4 linked regions of the Drosophila melanogaster genome follow. The protein of the gene in region 1 interacts with the protein of each later gene in a pairwise test. Each region holds a gene or a part of one and is shown in the gene's direction. Other genes may lie near its edges. The genes, in order: Tsp74F, Drip, CG6149 and fan.

Evidence for each region.
Region 2: the proteins of Tsp74F (region 1) and Drip interact in a two-hybrid assay, tested with the Drosophila melanogaster proteins (one large-scale study listed by BioGRID).
Region 3: the proteins of Tsp74F (region 1) and CG6149 interact in a two-hybrid assay, tested with the Drosophila melanogaster proteins (one large-scale study listed by BioGRID).
Region 4: the proteins of Tsp74F (region 1) and fan interact in a two-hybrid assay, tested with the Drosophila melanogaster proteins (one large-scale study listed by BioGRID).

Annotation. Positions count from the first base shown.
Region 1 is NT_037436.4:17,891,300-17,897,857, reverse strand, and holds Tsp74F (tetraspanin 74F), read left to right. Parts: upstream 1-1,995; 5' UTR 1,996-2,092; intron 2,093-2,645; 5' UTR 2,646-2,827; intron 2,828-4,301; exon of another isoform or gene 4,302-4,406; intron 4,407-4,471; 5' UTR 4,472-4,480; coding exon 4,481-4,558; intron 4,559-4,635; coding exon 4,636-4,827; intron 4,828-5,045; coding exon 5,046-5,141; intron 5,142-5,204; coding exon 5,205-5,501; intron 5,502-5,575; coding exon 5,576-5,623; 3' UTR 5,624-6,038; downstream 6,039-6,558. Other genes in the region: CG7402 (uncharacterized protein), read right to left, coding at 6,504-6,558.
Region 2 is NT_033778.4:11,426,600-11,431,613, reverse strand, and holds the start of Drip (drip), read left to right. Parts: upstream 1-1,968; 5' UTR 1,969-2,545; coding exon 2,546-2,561; intron 2,562-3,810; exon of another isoform or gene 3,811-4,162; coding exon of another isoform or gene 4,163-4,172; intron 4,173-5,014. UniProt on the Drosophila melanogaster protein: Forms a water-specific channel.
Region 3 is NT_037436.4:11,434,166-11,437,206, reverse strand, and holds CG6149 (uncharacterized protein), read left to right. Parts: upstream 1-1,730; 5' UTR 1,731-1,745; coding exon 1,746-2,450; 3' UTR 2,451-2,512; downstream 2,513-3,041.
Region 4 is NT_037436.4:8,107,260-8,110,595, forward strand, and holds fan (farinelli), read left to right. Parts: upstream 1-1,872; 5' UTR 1,873-2,018; coding exon 2,019-2,675; 3' UTR 2,676-2,784; downstream 2,785-3,336. Other genes in the region: Sarm (sterile alpha and armadillo motif), read left to right, coding at 1,380-1,464; Nulp1 (nuclear localized protein 1), read left to right, coding at 3,240-3,336.

The DNA of each region.
Region 1 (6,558 bases):
GAAGGTCACTTTGCGTGAAAATGTTGTTTATTTATATATAGAATTTTGTGTAAAAAAGTTCCTTTATACTCCTCTAAGCTAAAGTAAATTCTATATAATTAACTATTGATAACCTTTCAACTTTCGCAATGCATTATTCACGAGCACTACACATTCCCATAGATTCATTAATTTATTAATGCAATATGCAAATTTTTGATTGATTGAGATAGCTTTTATACGAAGATCAGTAAGTGGCGAAGGCGTAAGTAGAGTTATAGCAGCTATGATAAGTCATGTGAGAATCAAAAATGTTGCATTTGTTGTTTTTTCAATGTTTCACTTTAGTTTGCATCTGATAATGTATGATGCATGTTGCTGTGTTAACTCGGTTGTATGCGCAGTTCGGTTAACATTTTAATTATATCTTCCACTACCAGTAGTCATTTGCTTGCCTTCCCAATTTTTGACTCATTCCAATCAGTTAAAGTGCCACAATTTAACGCTTCTGACGCTTGTCACCTTCGCCGAGCTCAACGAGGCTTTCAACTCGCTCACACTAATCGGATCTCAGTAAGTATAGGTTCATAGGCGAAATTGACTGGCTTAAAATTAAGAATTCCCCATAATATTAATGATTCTTGGCCACTTGAGCAAGAATAACTGAGCACTAGTCGCAAACTTCGATTTCTGAGCAATATTTTATCATGAGGCGCCTGTGGGACGAGTGTGTGGAAATGGATTTTATGGCATCTATAAAACGCAAAAGGTTCCCACAGCGAGTTTATAAGATGCAAAATCAACAGGCAGAGTAATTGTTTTTCTTTTTTTTATGATTTATTTTTATTTTCGCCATGCAACTAACACATTGGTCGGTGATTACGGGGACATGGCGGGTGGTTGTTGTTAACACGGCCATAAAAGTGCTAAACAAGCCAACAATTTGAGCGCTTTTCAACCGTGCTGTGGAGTGTAAGTAGGGAGGGTGAGCTATTCGTCTATCGGCAGCCAACTTTCTGACCTTAGCTTGGAAACTGCTTAAAAAATTACTCAACTCAGCCAAAACTATTTGTTCGACTAACAAGAAAATTAAGCTGTTAATTGCCAAAGGTTGTCCTTCGGCACAGCAATTGAGTTCGACCAGCAAAAGTAACATGAAACACGGATAATAAGCATATTTTCCTTGTGCTCTCTTGGAACACTAAGCCCTTGAAATCAAGAAAGAAAGATAGCCTCGCCAATGTTTGATTTCTTTTCTAATATTTTCAATTAAATTTCGATATTTATACATACATGATACAGAAGACAAATTCACATACTACGAGCAATAAAAAGAAGATTTTTAGAAAAGTTCCAAGCTTTAAAACTATGATTCTAGAATGCGTAAGAAAGGAACGGACTGACAAACTTGGCTTTATCAAGTTGTCTGATCAACACTCGTATATTGAATATAAATATGGTTGCAAATAGATGCAAATGATCCAACTGAAGAAAGAAAACAATCATTACAAATAATCCTTGTTCAAAAAGTATTTAAACTTAAACTGTTATAACAAAACGGTAACCAATTCGGATAGATTTGCCTCCAAAATCAATTATGCGGACATTGCCATGTGCAGACCGAGAACTAAAACAAATATCAAATTTCGTTTGCTTATCAATATTTATATTTTGCAATTGCCCGAAATGAAACAAAGGTGCTGGCTGTGGACGACGGATCATATTTTGTTTGCTCAACGCATTTTCACATGCCGACTCCGCAAAGGGAAGTGTGGGTAAAAGAAGCCGAAAAATAGATGAATAAATAAGAGAGAAGCACGAAAACATTCAGAGAAGTATTTGCGGTTTGTAAGCGAGTAGAGACTCCCATCTCTCTCGCACCTGCAGTGCTAAGCCTTCGAAAACAGGGGCTCAAGTCGAAGTTGTTGTAATGTCGAGAGACCGAGACCAGAAAAAGCCCAACAACGAAGCTCTTTGTGAGCGAAACTAATAAAAAACCGATCGCCCCGACTGTTCCCACAACCAGTTCCAAGCGAGCTCTCGGGCGGTAGAGTCGTCCCTGTCCCACATATAAAACCATAGTATCATAGCTCCCCGGATCCACTCAATCCCTGTAAGGCGAGACTTAGGTCCATCAAGTGAATCGTATAGTTTTATCCCCACGAAATATCCCGACAGTACAGTGATAACTCCGCTAAGGATAATGCTGCCTTGGCAAGCGTGACGTAACTTGAAAAGCAAATGTTAAAAGCAAGGCGGCAAAAAAAAAGTTGTTTGCCATGGGAGAACTGCAATTGACAATAACAGCAACAGCAATCGAATAAAAACTCAATAACAATTATCAACTGCGAGTGACGCTTAAAACAAATGCAAGAAACCTGTATTAAAAAAGTTTCATAAAAATTCGAGAGCAAATATTAACGAATATTGCATAAATTGCTATATGCGTATGTAAACTTTGCGATCTCTTTTGATCTGAATGAAGTGATCTGAATGAAGAATGAACCAAAAATTTAAACAAGTTAATAAAATCGACCGAAAAAATGAATGAATGCGTCTTCATCAAAAAGTTGTTTATAAATAAAAGTGAAATTAAAAACTCTTCTACTTCTTACCACAAAAATGTTAATTGAAAGGGTTAAAATAATTTCCTTCTTTTTTTATAGCCACTCCCAAAGTTTCTGTGCATTCAAGTGCAACTAAAAATAGTAGCCGTTTCTTTTGTTTTGCTTTGTGTTTTTGCAAAACAACAAATTGAAGGCAATTTACATACACAAAGCTGAGAAAGAAAACCGCCAAAATTGGTTACCTAACGAAAACTTCGTTTGTGCTACGGGACGGCAAACTTGTAAGTGAATTTGCTTATTAGATAATATTTCATTTGTTTTAATTAATCATAAATTTCATACAGAGGTCCTTCAAATGCGACCACTTTCCTATTTTCACTGCTATATTTTCAAGCTTCGAGTATAAACAAGGAGTACATATTTCATATTTATAGCCTCGACCGATTCTGCTCACTAACTTTTAAGCTAACATCACCTACAAATAAAGATTACATACGAGTTTTAAACATAAATGACCTAGTAAAGCTATTATTCCTATGATTACAGATAGATAACAGGGTATGAAAGGAGCATAAAAGAGTGAGCTCAGAGTTTAGTAGATAGTACTTAAAAAGTCTGATTTTCTAAGTTTTTCATGAGTGACAGGACTTGGAATCCGAGCTTTAAGTGATCTATTACCATGTGTAGCACGTACAGCTGAACAATTACCATAAACTTAATTGGTCTCAGCTTACAAGCGGCAGATATAGTGATTCGCCCCGCCGCCAACGCCCCGTCATCATTAATGGCGACTTTCGGATGACTTACTGTCATCTCAGGCACGATTCGGATTCGCTTAACATGATAACGTCGAATGAAATATAGTGAATATTCAGATAGTGTGAGAACATTTTTTTAATAGCCCCGCCAATTACCTGGCGAACTCGACTGCGGCTTAACATATTTGAATTTGGAGAATAATGCTCGAAATGAGATGTCGTTTACCAGCTAGTGGGGTGAAGGGGTACCCGACTGCTCAGCCTGCAATTACTTTTAATTAGCATTTAGAACATCGCACTGCGCCAAGATGATTCAGAGCTGGGACGGCACTCGTAGTTAAACCACTACAATTAGCTGACAAATTTTCGGGCAGGCTATTACTTTGATTTATTTGTTTTGATCGCTCCAACTTCAACGGGGGGAATTCGTCTCGGAATCGCCGCGCAGCGAACCCTTCAAGTGGGCCTAATGCGATGTAAGTAACCAAAAAAAAAAAAAAAAACGCGAGTCTTTAGAGCCGTAACTGACAAAATCCACAAGACGTTGGCAGCCACCGCCGATAATGAACGCTTGTCTAGGCACATAGCGTTGGCAGCTTCGCTGCTCAGTCGCAGTTCCATAAAGTGGGTCATGGTTAAGTGTACTTCGGTCGCTTCGCGGTTCGGACCCGGCTTAGAAAGAGCGAAACGTTCGGCCGAAACCACAGCTGCGCATGCGCATGCGCATGCGCACCACTCGCCAAGCCGAACACCATTGATAGGCAGCCCATATGTTGGAGTGAATCTTACGCGAAAGAAACTCGTTAAAAAGTACATTCTTGAGATTACATCACATTGCAATAGAGAGTAGGCCAAAAATAGCTAATTTGAAATCGGGATGATGAGTTATGATTAACTTGGTTATCGCTAAGGACCTGTTGAAATTGAATGATCTCTAAGAACTTTAACTTAATTAAAGCATAGTGTGAAATTATTTTTATCTGTCTTTGGATTATAGAGTTGTATCGCCATCAAGAACCTCTGCATCTCATCCTACCCCAAATTCCCTGCATAATTCTCCTCGCATCAATATCCTCTGGGGGCTCTTCACCTGTAGACAAAAGTAAACAATGTGAAATCTTTTTATCCCATTGAATTGGTTAATTGAAATGTATTATCCTTTCAAAGGAAGACGATATGGGCTTCAGTTCGCGAATGGACTGCTGCGGGCAGTTCGTCAAGTACAGTCTTTTCATAGCCAACTTTGTGATATTCGTGAGTATCCAGGAGTCGCTTGAATTAAAAAACAATTTAAGAGAAATAAATAATACCAAAATATATGTATTTTCCAGGTGGGTGGAGCGATTGTGTTTTGTCTCACCCTGTGGACTCTGGTGGATCGGAGTTTCGTCAATGAGTTGCTCGGTACAAATCTTTTCTCGGGTGCTGTCTACGTCCTGCTGGTTACATCGATTATCATTTGTCTGGTGTCCTTTTTGGGTTGTGTTGGTGCCGGAAAAGAAGTCAAATGCCTCCTCCTAACAGTAAGTAAACAACAAACAATAAAAACAAAAATTTCATTTTATTAAATAATTAACTTTGTCCTTTTTGGAGTAATCATATCTGGATTTGCATATTTACAAAGATACCATCTAAAGAAATGATCTATTTGATTTAATCTTCTAAATGTTGTCAGTCTCTTCTTTACTATTATGCAAACACCATTTAGCTAAAAAATTAACCACTCGTTTTCCCTTTGCAGTATTTCATAATAGTGGCCCTAGTTTTCGTGACCATGCTAATTGGCGGTGTCTTGGGTTACGTGTTCCGCGAACGAGTTCAGCAGACCATGCGGCAGGTGAGGCAAATCCATCGATAACAACACGTGGGTGGCACATTAACCCTTACCAATATCCCATAGGAAATGCGTTCCACGATGGCACTATACGGAAGCAGGAGGGAGATCACCCAGGCCTGGGATTTGACCCAGGAGCGACTACAGTGCTGCGGAGTGGATACGTGGCACGACTGGAATAGGTACGGACCAGTGCCTGAGTCCTGTTGCCAGGAGCTTTTCGGTGGACAGCGTAAGGAGTGCACAATCTTCCCGACCATTACGAATCTGTACAACCAGGGATGCCTCTATGTGACGACCAACTTCATCAGGGATCACGCGGCGGTTATTGGAGGTACATCCATAGCGGTGGCCATACTGATGGTAAGTGAACGCCTTTCTTCGGTAGCAAAATTATTATATAATATATAATTAATTGGAATTTGGTTTATTTTTAGATCTTTGGCATGATATTCTCCTGTCTACTATTCAATATGATCGAATAGCGCCAACGAGGAGGGGAATCCCATGGTCACGCAGGAAAATCAGATACCAAGGTCCACAGTCCAGAAGAAACACATTTTTAAACATAATTCGCTGGAGTTAAATTAAGAGTATTATCTGAGTGTATGCTAATGTTAGATCTGCACAGATCAACTGTCCGCTTGTATTATGTATTGTATTGTATGTATATACGTGTTTAGATACGCATAACTAGTGAGTATTGAACTTAGTAGGGATTCTATTGTTATTATCTGTTGCATAAATTTGTATTATTTGTGTGAAGTTTTGTAAATTTCCTCTTAAGCCACCGTTATCAACAACCCATTACAATTGCTAGTTTTAAGTGAGCTTTTCAATACTTAATAGAGAATTTAGATGTCTGTCCATTGTTGTTTTCAATAAAAATTAGTTAAAACCAAATACTTCGGAAATGTTTATATATATTAATATTTTTTATTTTTAATCCAATTATCATTAAACGATATGTTGTGATATGAGTATAAAAAAAAAACGAAAAAGGATAAATATTTAAAATGATCTGGTCCATGAAATATGTCCATGTTACGTAAAAATTTGTATTTAAAAAACGGTTTAAAGTATTAAACTGTTTTTGATCGAAGCTTTAATCTACATGCAATATTGTTGCATATTTTTAGGTTTTTTTTGTCTTAAGTCACATTTTTGAAGCGGGAAAATAGGGAAAGTATGGATCACGCTGTGACCTGAAGGTGTTTACAAAGTGAATTATCATCAGATAATATAACAACTTTTATGTTATTTAACTGAAAATAAGTTCGCACTCAAGCGACTTTAAAGATTTGAATAAAAAAGTATTTTCTTTAATTAACTTTTATTAAAAATTATTCTACTAAGAACTTACAGCTACAACAGATTTCTGTATACTAAGCCTATAATACTACCCATCGCAAGCCATAAA
Region 2 (5,014 bases), on another chromosome or scaffold:
CAGTATAAGTTCTAAAGAGGGAAATAAACAATTTTGGTAATTTACCCACAACAGCTACGTACTATCTGTAACTAGCATTAACAACAATTATTTCCAATGTCTAATTCTGAGTTTTTACTTTGTGCCTTTCGATGAATTCAAAGTTTTGTTAAATCTATTTTACAAACCTATAGTAGATAATCTGCAACTGCTTAATAACAATTAAAGCGAATCTAATTTGATGATTTCAACTATTCCCATCTAGTTACTAGATAAAATTATACTTTTAATTGGTATCGTTGGGCAAACTCACTTTGGTGAATGAAACTCCAGTTGAAAAGGAGCCAAGATCTATTGGTAATTCGACAGGCATATACCATCTCCACATCGGCGATTATTATCTCGCCCATTTAGCCAGAGTTTGTGCCATTTTAATGCTTAACTGCCATTAAATATAATTACTCATTAAAGCAAAAGAGCCCCGGCATGTACATACATACATACTTCGCTTGAATTCCCCATGCGAAGGCACAAATAAGTCCGTCTGCGATTTGGCTCTTGTTTTCATAATGGGCCAAGACGCTTCCCCACAAACAAAATCGCAGCTCTTGGCGAGCGAGTCTTCTTTTATTTTGGCTTGTCACTTGTTTTGTCAATAACTCGCAACTGTTGCTCTGTTAAGAGATAAAAATAGCCCGCGACGACGACAAGGTAAAAGCCCTTTTCACCAGCAAAGCCCCGCAATCAATATGGCATATTAAAGTTGGTGAAAAGCTGTTTAAAAGTGAAACTGATAACGGCCCAACCGTCCATAACCCATTAGCCGCGTTTTAAGTTGGAAAAGCTGCAATAAGGTGCCATTAAAAGAAAATGAAAACTGTTCCGGCATTGGAATGGTTGAGTGGGTGGGTGGTAGGTCTAGTACAACCGTTTGGTGGGTGGTTCAAACAGTCACGTGCAGCGTTTGTGGATTATCAAAAGTCAAAAACCCCCTGTAATGATAACATCTTAGCTATGCGATAATTGAGTCTGAGGTTCGGCATGACCAGCGCAATTAGATTAATCAAAAATGTGTTTATGGCTCCTTGAGTGTCCATATATCAAGTGAACAAAATGGCAGGCGAATAATAGTTCTTAGGCTGTGTGCAAAAACCCAAAATGGCTGTGAACTTTCCCCATGGTCAATAACAATTCGATTATGAACTTGGCCATCTGTCGGCTAATTGCAATTCATTGGTTTTTAATTGGCACCATATAAGCAATGCTATATTTTGGGAGCTTTTATGTGATTATCACATCACATTTACCAAAGACTAAGCAAGACAACCATTTTCTATTGTATATATATCTTATACATGGATATATGTACATATGTGCCTATCTTATCTATATTATATCTATGTGATTCGTCTAAAGACTAAGGCCCTTGAGTGGCTTTTTCGGATATGAAACAGTTGATTTAAACCGATGTTATGCCAATTGGTTATAGAATAACTTTGGGGGAGAGTCCATATATCATCAGTAACGGTTAGCAGCTGATAAGACCATGACTGGAAAATGTTTCGTGTTATGGGGTAGACTCGAATGGGGTATTACTCATACTCATACGTTTTGTTTTAAAAAACAATTACGCCACAAGTTATACTGACTAATTTCACTCAGAACTAACTGAGAGCTACTTTCGAAGGGCAAAGTAGGGATTTATTGTAGTATTTGGCAAGCAACTCACTTTGGCCAAAACAGAGCCATCAAAAGCCACAAGAGTCATTACAAATGTTTTCGCGCCCCCATTCGATTAAGTCATCCGGGGTAGGTGTATTCCGAGCTTAGATCCTTTGAGGCGTCCAAGTGGATACATGCGGAGCTCCGCGGTGGCCAAGCCCCAAAACTAAAAAATCTGAATGGGGCAGTGACGGCGACGCGACTGCGACGCCGACCGCGACGACGACCGCGGCAGAGAGTATATCAGTTACAGTCGCAGCGTTGGCAACGCTTATTTGCGCTCGAGCAGCGAACGTGGTAGCACAGCTTTAAGCACTACAGCACTACAGTACAAACTGCGAGAAAGAAAAGCGGCAGTTTCGAAAATCCGAAAAGGAAATCGAGTTCGGAGCGGTTAGTTTAATTGGCGATAATAATAAACTAATAATAAAATCGAGTTATTGCACGTTGCGCTTTCCAATTTCGAAAAGGAAATCTGAAAATATTGTAGCCCAGTGAAGAAAATAAGTCAATCGGGTGAAATTAAATTGATAACAACACCGCTTTCCGCCCCATATTCGACTCCGTGTGGTCAAGTGGCAGACAATTGTGCAACCTCAAGACTCTTAACCTTAACAATTATATTTCGGCCACAAAAAACTATTGGCACAATTCAGTTCGATTCGAGTGCGCGCTAACTCACTTTTACCCGCAGCAAAAAGCAATAAGGCAAAAAGCACGCTTTGAAAACGAAAGCAAAGCACAAGTTCGCTTCGAAACCCCCCACGCTTGCCAAAAATCTCAAGTGGCAGCCCCCAGAAGACAGTAGATCGTAGCCAGAAGACCGAAGACAGAAGACAGCAAAATGGTCGAGAAAACAGGTGAGTGATTGGCGATTGGAGGCTGGAGAATGCGAAATATGCGTGTGCGTGTGTGCGAAGGTTAATTGCGAGCAAAATTTGGGGGCGAGAGTGCGGCAAATTGTTATGGTTTTGTGCGAAAGTTAATCCCACTCTTTTGGGGCTTTCAACTTTTGCTTGAATAATATCACAAACCAATGAGAGTGTATAATTTCCAAAACTATTGATCGAAATCGTTTGCAATTTGCTATTGCCAGTGTATCAATCCTTATGTTTTTTTACATTAAAATAAAACGATCAAAAGTAAACCATAAAATTTGTAATGAATACAGTTTTAACAAATCTACTTTTGATTTAATAAAGCACCCAGTTTGTTTATTGCAAAATAGGCCCCTCTTTGGATTTCACTTTCAAAGCAAACAAATAGTAACCCAAAATTTGCCTTAAATTAATCATTCCTTCACAATTAATCAACTTTAATAAGCCATCGAAAGATGTTTTGATAAATCATCTTTTTCTTTTTTTTCTTTCTTTGTTTTGGGTGGTTGGGCGAATCAAAGAGTAGCCCGCCTGTCGATAACGATAACGAGATGATTGGTTTTCAATAATTTCTCTGACACAGCATGACAAAGACAGCAAATTAGCCCCGAGTTATTTTTTTTTTTATAGTTAGACGTAGTTTTTTGTTGCTTTGATTTAGCTTCCGTGGCGATTGATGATGATTTCTGTAACTGAAAGTTTGCATGACAGAAAAGCCTGGAAAGAAAAAAAAAAGATAGATAGGAGAAAACTTAGCTAGGTAAACAACAGCGGAAACTCCGGCCGAGGCAATTTATGCGATGATGATGTTGATGGCTCCCCAACGAAAGCAATAAAACCACACCGAACCGAGTCAAGTCAGTCAAGTGAATGAACTGGAGGAAAACACCCTAAGAGCCAAATAAGTAGGAACTTTTATTTGTGCGATCTGAACAGTCAAATTAATTAAAAACCTAATTGCATTCCTCTGGTTGCTTCGCAGAATTAAAGCCAACCTCTGGCGTCATTTTCGCCGCCTGTTCCGCCGATATCGTTGTGATAATGACCATAATATTTACCCGGCACTGAATACTCATTTGCCAAGCCAAGAATTCTCGGTTCCAGCTAATTAATGTCAACGCCTGAGCATCTATTTGATCAAGTGTTTAAACACAGGGCTCAATATTTGATTTAGATATTAAATATGTTCACTTAACGTGGCTGCTTAATGCTCGGGTGGAATTTTGAGACCAGTAAGCGTTTAAAAATAGTCGAGTGAGGTGCGTGAGAAATTCGCAGCCCTTTGGCGCTGAAATTCTGCAAATTATAGTACAAACGTGTGGCTAATTTGATATCCCTCTTTCGCTTAATGTCTTCTCCGCCTCATAATTCAATGCGTTGTCATCTTGGACCAACATCACTTTATACATATATATATATATATATATATGTGTAGACAGACTTCCACCTGACGTTAGTAGCTGCTGTTTTTGTGGCGACGGATTCGCAGATATAACAAAATTACAGTAATAATCGTGCGCGGAGTTGACATGACATCACGGTGAAATTGGCATTCAAAACAGTAGCAAACTTAAGGCCAGGAAATGGTTTTTGGTATGACTGGAGAACATTTAGACATTTAACACAGTTAGTGCACATCCCCATTTACTTAATTCCATCCAACCGAGCTCCGTTCTCAATGGAAGATCAACTTGTTTGTTAATCGGATAGCTTATAATTAAGATAATAAGCTGCCATTGAGATGCACAGAAGCGAAGATGTTCGGTTCCCATGGAAAGTTTTTGATTCACGTAACGTTCAATTAAGTTTACGGAAAATAATTGGAATGTTCATATATCTATTGATTTGATGTAGAAGTGACTGTGTGCCATACCGAAAATTTAGTCCGCTTTGGTGTACAAATTGCATATTTTGCAAATTTAAAAAAACAATCCGAAAGAAATACAACTTTGTTGCCTTTTAAAATGCCATCCATTATGTGCCTGAAAAACAGCCTTTCAGTCTCCCAATTTTCCCTATCGTGTCGTCTCAAATTATCGCCATTAATTGACAAACTTCCAAAGTTAGTCATAAACCACAAACCCCAATAAATTGCCTTTGATTTATGGTGCATTGTAAACGAGTTAAGCGACATAAATTCGTTTGGAGCAAAAGCCCATAAAGATTATAAGTGAGTTTGAACGTACTCCTCCCGCACAGCAAACGAGCAAACGAAAACTGAATAGTCCCCTGCCCATCTGACTAATTAATTTATAACGATTTTAATAGCCAGCGAACAGGTTTCGATCTTTCCCGCGACTGTTATTAATAAAATCATCACCTTGCCGAACAAAAGTGCCCAAGAGTTGCGCAAAGCCGAAATTAATAATCCGATTAAATTGATTAATTGTTGTAGACGAAAAATGGATTGCAAACAATATGCCAGAACCTTTTGT
Region 3 (3,041 bases), 6.5 Mb from region 1:
TGTTTACAAAGCTTGTGAACAGTGAAAAGATGATCCAACATTAATTATGTACGAAACTGAAACTGTGAGGGGAAACAAAATAAGGAACTTTAACAATTTCTTTAGGTATTCCCTTTGAAAGTTTCTAAGAACATGCTTGATAACCTTTAAAATCTAGAGTGGAATATGTGGAGTATGTATACGTCCTTGAAATATATATAGTGTGTTTTTTATACGAAAATAAAAATGTGTCTGTAAAATTAATTAACCAACTTAAGTTGATTTAAACATGGTTTTCTTATTCTTATATTAAACAAAGTGATAAAACTCAATAGATTATTTATAGTGTAATTACACTCAATACACCTACAAACTCAGAGTTCATACAAGTGCTAACTAAACAGTCTGCAACATTCGGTCCTAAAGGGATTGATACATTTATTTGACTGCCAAATATTGTACACCCGTTTTTATGTGCGAAAATATCGGCCAGAAATGTCTGCCTATATTTAAATAACTCTGTCGCAATGACCGTAGCGAAACGTGTCCGACAACGGTTTTAAAAAATTAACAACATTGCTCCAATTAGTCTGGGCAGTGCGGATCATAATTGTATGGGCACACATCGTTCTTATATAGTATATACATATGTATATTTCGCAGGCATTCGAATATCCAAATTTGCGTCACGGCACTGAGTTTTTGCGACTCCTTTCGTTTTTAAATCCATTTGGTTATCACCATGGACAGACGCTTAAATTGAATTTATAAATAGTAACAGACCACTATTTAACTAATAGACTCAAATTCGAACAGCAAAGACTTACTAATCAAACAGATGTCGACTTACTTAAGAGCTAGTTTTTATCGATAAGTGAGCTGGATTTATTAAAAAACTAAAAAAAACCCAGCTAAAAGTCCTTGAAATTTTTACTTTTATTTTGCACTGCTAATAAGATATAATTTTGGGCTTCCTAGTTGATTCAGTATTCCGAGATATAATGTATATTTATAATTATTTACTAATATTTGTTAAATATAACTAATAATTATCAGGTCACTGTTAAACAAATAGTTTTACCTATTCTCGCTTTCGCCGTCAGATGGCTGAATCGAATTTGGCAAAAAGGTAATTTAACTATTTACGAATGGTTTTCGTCGGACATATGGTGGTGATGGGCCTGACTAATTATCCACTGAGATCTGCACGGCCGACAAAGGAAAACAAACAAATATTTACGGAACACACATCCATTTGATTGCCTGCGGTTGGTGGACCCTTCCTCTTCATTTTCATCGCAACATCTGGTCCTGAAATTGAAGGACCTCTGACCAAACGAATCAGCTGTGTCCAAGGTCGCACCCCTGTAGTTTTAACGGCAAACTCCCCATTTCCATTTGAGTCAATACTCATCGCCTTTTACCTTTCGGTTCCGCAGTGGGTCAATAATTAAACTAACGATGAAATTGATACGTTGTATATCCAAACTCACATTTATCTATAAGTTTTAGATACGGTATTTATGTGTTTCCTTCAAATAGTTGTTTGAGTAGATTACAAAACTAGAAACATGGTTGAAATTGTTATTTATTTGTTTCAATGGAACCTATTTAAACTTTCTCACCCAACTTGGTAAAAATTAGAGCTTATTTTGCATCACTATTCTAGCGAATCCGTTTCGGTCATAGGCTATTTCCCTATGCCGGATCGATTTGCACCACATTAGCATAGCTCCATCGACAAATGCGTTAGTATCTATCCGGAAATGGAGCGACTTAATTTGTCGAACAGGGCTCGCCTGTTTTTCCACCTGTCGGCCACCGTTCACCTGGGCTATGCCATTTACTTTGACTGTCGGTATGCCCAGTTGCCACAAGTGGCGGTGACCCTGCGCCTGGAGCCACCGATTGGTGGCAAGTTTAAGTACATGACGTTTCTGTGCGGCCTTTTGCAGTTGGGGTACTATACACTGGCGCTGACCTTTGACCTCCTCCGATTGAGATCTCTAAGGAAGCTGCGAGACTACATCTTCGCCACCTTTGCCGTACCTCTGGCCCTTACGGTGGGTCTCACCTTTTGGACACTCTTCGCCATCGATCGGGAAGTGATATATCCGGTGCTTTTGGACCTGGTCTATCCCAATTGGCTGAACCACACCATGCACACCTTCGTCGTAATCTATGCCTTTGTGGAGTTGGGTATTACACGACATCAATATCCGAAACGCAGTCGAGGATTCACTGGACTGGGTGCCTTCATGTTGGGATATCTGGTGTGGATACATATCGTTTGGTTCCGGACCGACATCTGGGTGTATCCCTTTCTGGGCGGCATCGCCTGGCAGCTGAGAGTAATTTTCTTTGTCCTTATCATGGTCCTCGGATTCATTTACTATCTCTTCGGCGAGCGAGTTAATAACGTCTTGTGGCAGCGATCTACTGGTGTCCACAGATGGATCGATTCCCATTGAAATGCACATTTGATAGTTTAAGGATAGGAACATAAATAAAGTATATAGGATATGCTTCTTATTAAATTAAATATGACTACTGTGGAAGTCAAGCTATGCAACTATTCAAATCGTACAAAAGGCGCAGTAATAAAACTAATATACATTTTTGTAGAAACCATAAAATTCAATTCGAAAGTAATAAAACATGTTTCCGGTACAAAGATCAATTGCAATATAAAAGTCGAAATCATCTAATTTTTCAACACACATAACGGAACCGGAAATCGCTCTGAATATATTATTTTGGTTTTCAAATGCGTTTATCATCGAAAAACCAGCTGCTAAGAAGCGGAATCCATATGGATTCGAACATATTCTCATTCAACTATATGATAGTCACGTGCGGAAATTACAGCTGCCAGCTGATTCTGGAAAACCGATCCATTGTTTTACTCAATCCTTTCAGCGGGAGGTTCCGGTTTGGCTAGGATGTGGGCTCCGATTTCGAATATTTCAGGACACCACTTGTGCCAATATTTCGAAAGTGATCTCCGGACAGCCGAAACTCAGAGAAGAAAGGCACAGTTTTTCATTGTTTGCTGCAAAGGC
Region 4 (3,336 bases), 9.8 Mb from region 1:
GCATTCATCCACCCCCTGGGGACCCTTACAACCTTTCTACCTCCACTCGCTGACTCTACTTCTCTTTCTCTGGTGTTGGTACTCGTTCGCTATTTTTACTCGCCACTCGTTGACTCGTTTCGCTAAGCATCCACTAAAACTCGCCTGCGTTGCCCAAAAAATATATACGAACGCCCCTCCCCCGCCAATTTCTATATCTTCAAACTCTATTTGCCTTGTGATTAGTTGTTGATTTTGATAATTATTTTTTTATTGAAAAATAAGTAAGCGAATTTAAATTGCGAAAACTAATTTATGAAAAGAAAAATACAATTAACGACTGCATAAATACGAAACCTAATTTATAGAACACAAAACAGAAACCATCTAATTCTAAACACTACAAGAAACAAAAATATATTGGAGAGCGAAAACACTCTATATTTAAAATGCTATTTATAAATAATATGTTTAAAAATTTGTACATTTTTCGCGAATGCAACATGTTCTTGTAACCGTCCGCAAAACGTAAACTAAAAATTGCAAAATTTAAAATTAACCCGTGTGGCTTAAAACGAAAATATTTACATAAGTGATATTTAAACTACGTATAATCGAAATTTACTTAATGCAAAATTTTTACAACAAAACATGCTGTACAAACCTAATTTTTAGCGCAGGAGTTTTTAAGGCATATTTTTATTGATTTTTGCAATATATATTTAATATTTAAATAGTGCCTAAAGTTAAATACGAAAGCCGAAAAAATCGAAATACATACAAAAAAAAAAGGAAATAAAATGTGACTTAATTCAAACTAAATGTGTATTATTGGCCCTATTTAGCCCTGTTCCCCTGCTTAATCAGTCCATACTATATCATCAATCGCATGTACCGATATTATACGTTTTGTTCAATGTTTGTATTGCGTTCTGCATTTGAATTTGTGTTTGTGCCTTTAATGGAATTCGAAATGTTTTATTTGTATATATCTTATCACTTTTATTTCTTCCCTCTTTCTTTCTCTATATCCGGACTTTTTTGTAGACCATAAAAGCGAAATTGGCTACCGCAATCCGTTGTAACTGTTGTTATCGTTGTGCCTGTTGTACTGCCCCCGCCCACAAAAGCACCCACCCACCAAATCGAATCGATTTCGATTTCGAAAAACCCATCATCGCACACCGTGAGATTAATACGATGCCTACACTCAGCATCCGCCGTCTCGACAACCAACATTCATTGTTATTTATTACCAAGCAAGCAACAAAAAAAAGAAAGAAAGCAATCAAAGCAAATAGCGATACCAATAAACGTGTATATAATTGCATAAATCGAAAGAGTCCTGTCAAACATTTTTTAATTTGTATCTTACCCATACCTCCTCCCACTCGAAACAGCAACGAAATGGAGGACGAGGAACTTTCGGGCATCATTCTGTCCAAGGCCACCTCCCCCAATGCCGGGCGCATGATATTTTGGTAAATGATGGACCATCCCCCACCTGACACACATTCAGTCACACAAACGTATCGAATTTTTGTAAATATTTAATAAAACAAAAAACAAATAAAACGAACGATCTGAAACTCGAAATCATGTTGTTATCTAAACATCTTGAACTTACAAATACAAAAAACTACAATTTGCAAAAGTTCTAAAAAGTTTTTGAACATTATTTAAAGACAGGTTTGTATATAATTTATGAAATTAGCCTAAAATATAGCTTTTAAGACATTCCTTTAAGCAACATAAGCTAATAGCTGCAATCTATAATAGTGATGCTGCGCATATGACTTTCAAAACCGACCAGTGTGTCCACACCAGAAAAGTTGAATTCATACGAAATCAAGCAATATGTGAACTCAATTCAGCCCTGAAATGGAAAGTTTCACATTCCTTTTTCTGTCATTTGCACTACGGCATTGTCAGGGAACGTGTTCATTTGGTACCACATTTTTTCATATATTGGTCATAATCGGTTCCAGTTCATATCGCTTCCGATTTTTTGAAAAATAAAAAGGTACAAATATTCCAATATGTCCGACAATACCGAGAGCAAACTTGCGCTAGACCCGTGCGATGTGATCGTCTTTGAGGGACCATTCAACCGCTCGGTGAGCAGGAAGCTAGTCATCAAGAACACCAGTAAGACCCAGCGAATGGCCTTCAAGATGAAGACCACCACTCCAAAACTTTTTTATGTACGCCCCAACATCGGTGTCTTGGGGCCCGAGCAGAAGGTCAGCGTTGACATATTCATGCAGCCAATTCTGCAGGAGCAGATAAAGAAGCGTCATAAGTTCCTTCTCCTGGCCGCCGAGGTGACTGGTGACATAAGCGATGTGCAGGAGTTTTGGAAGATGCAGAACCCGAATGAAACTCGGGAAACCAAGATCAAATGTGAGCTAGTCCCTTCGAAGGAGGACGATTTCCGTCAGGCGGGAGGTTCAGCTGTAATATCCACGGACAACAAGGACGGAGAGGTCCATTTTGATGCCCAGGAAGTCAGTGAGCCAATGGCCAAGTTGCTCAAGCAAGTCAGCATGCTGGAGGACGAGCATATGGCCCTCACAGACCAGATCGACGGCTTGCGTGACCAGGCGATTGGGCGCACTTTCTTCTACATGGCCGCCATAGTAATCATTATACTGTCCGCTGTCGCAGGCGCCTATTATGGCAAGACTCGTTTGTAAATTCCTTATCATGGCAGTTTTTAGAACATAAGGCAGTAAATTGCACCGAAATTGTACGAAAATTATTTGTCAATAAAGGACATTTTGGTTGCATATTCTATTTTGAGATAGATAATTAGTTTATGCTTGTATACCAATAAATGCGTAAGATGTTATATTCTCACTTTACTAGAAGTAAATAAGTTTAAAATAGGAAATGTCGAATAAAAATAAATTTTTTCAAAACAATTTAAAATGCTTTTTCCTATTTCACTTTATGAAGAGACAAAAAGTAAACTTATTAAAATTTCTGTGAATAACACGTCAAGTTTGATCCAACTTCTACAGGCAAGGCGTATAGGTGTATAGCACTTGCTAAAATTTAGAACTTCTTTTTCAATTCCCGCCAAGACGGGACCACCTGTCTAGGCCAGTGCTGTGAAGCGCGCGTGGCCACAGAGCTCGGCAACCCTGCAGCCGTGCGAAAGCGAATGTGGTGAAGAAAAAAAAAACAGCGAAATACACACGTATTTTGCGACGAAATTAAATAGAATTCCTGCTAAGGGGTATAAGGACACTTGAAGGATGTCTGCGCGAATGCTGAAGAAGCTGCAGGGCGACGCTGACAAGCTGGCGCCACCGCCCGATGACGAGGACTGCGAGGAGCTGAGCGACAATGATG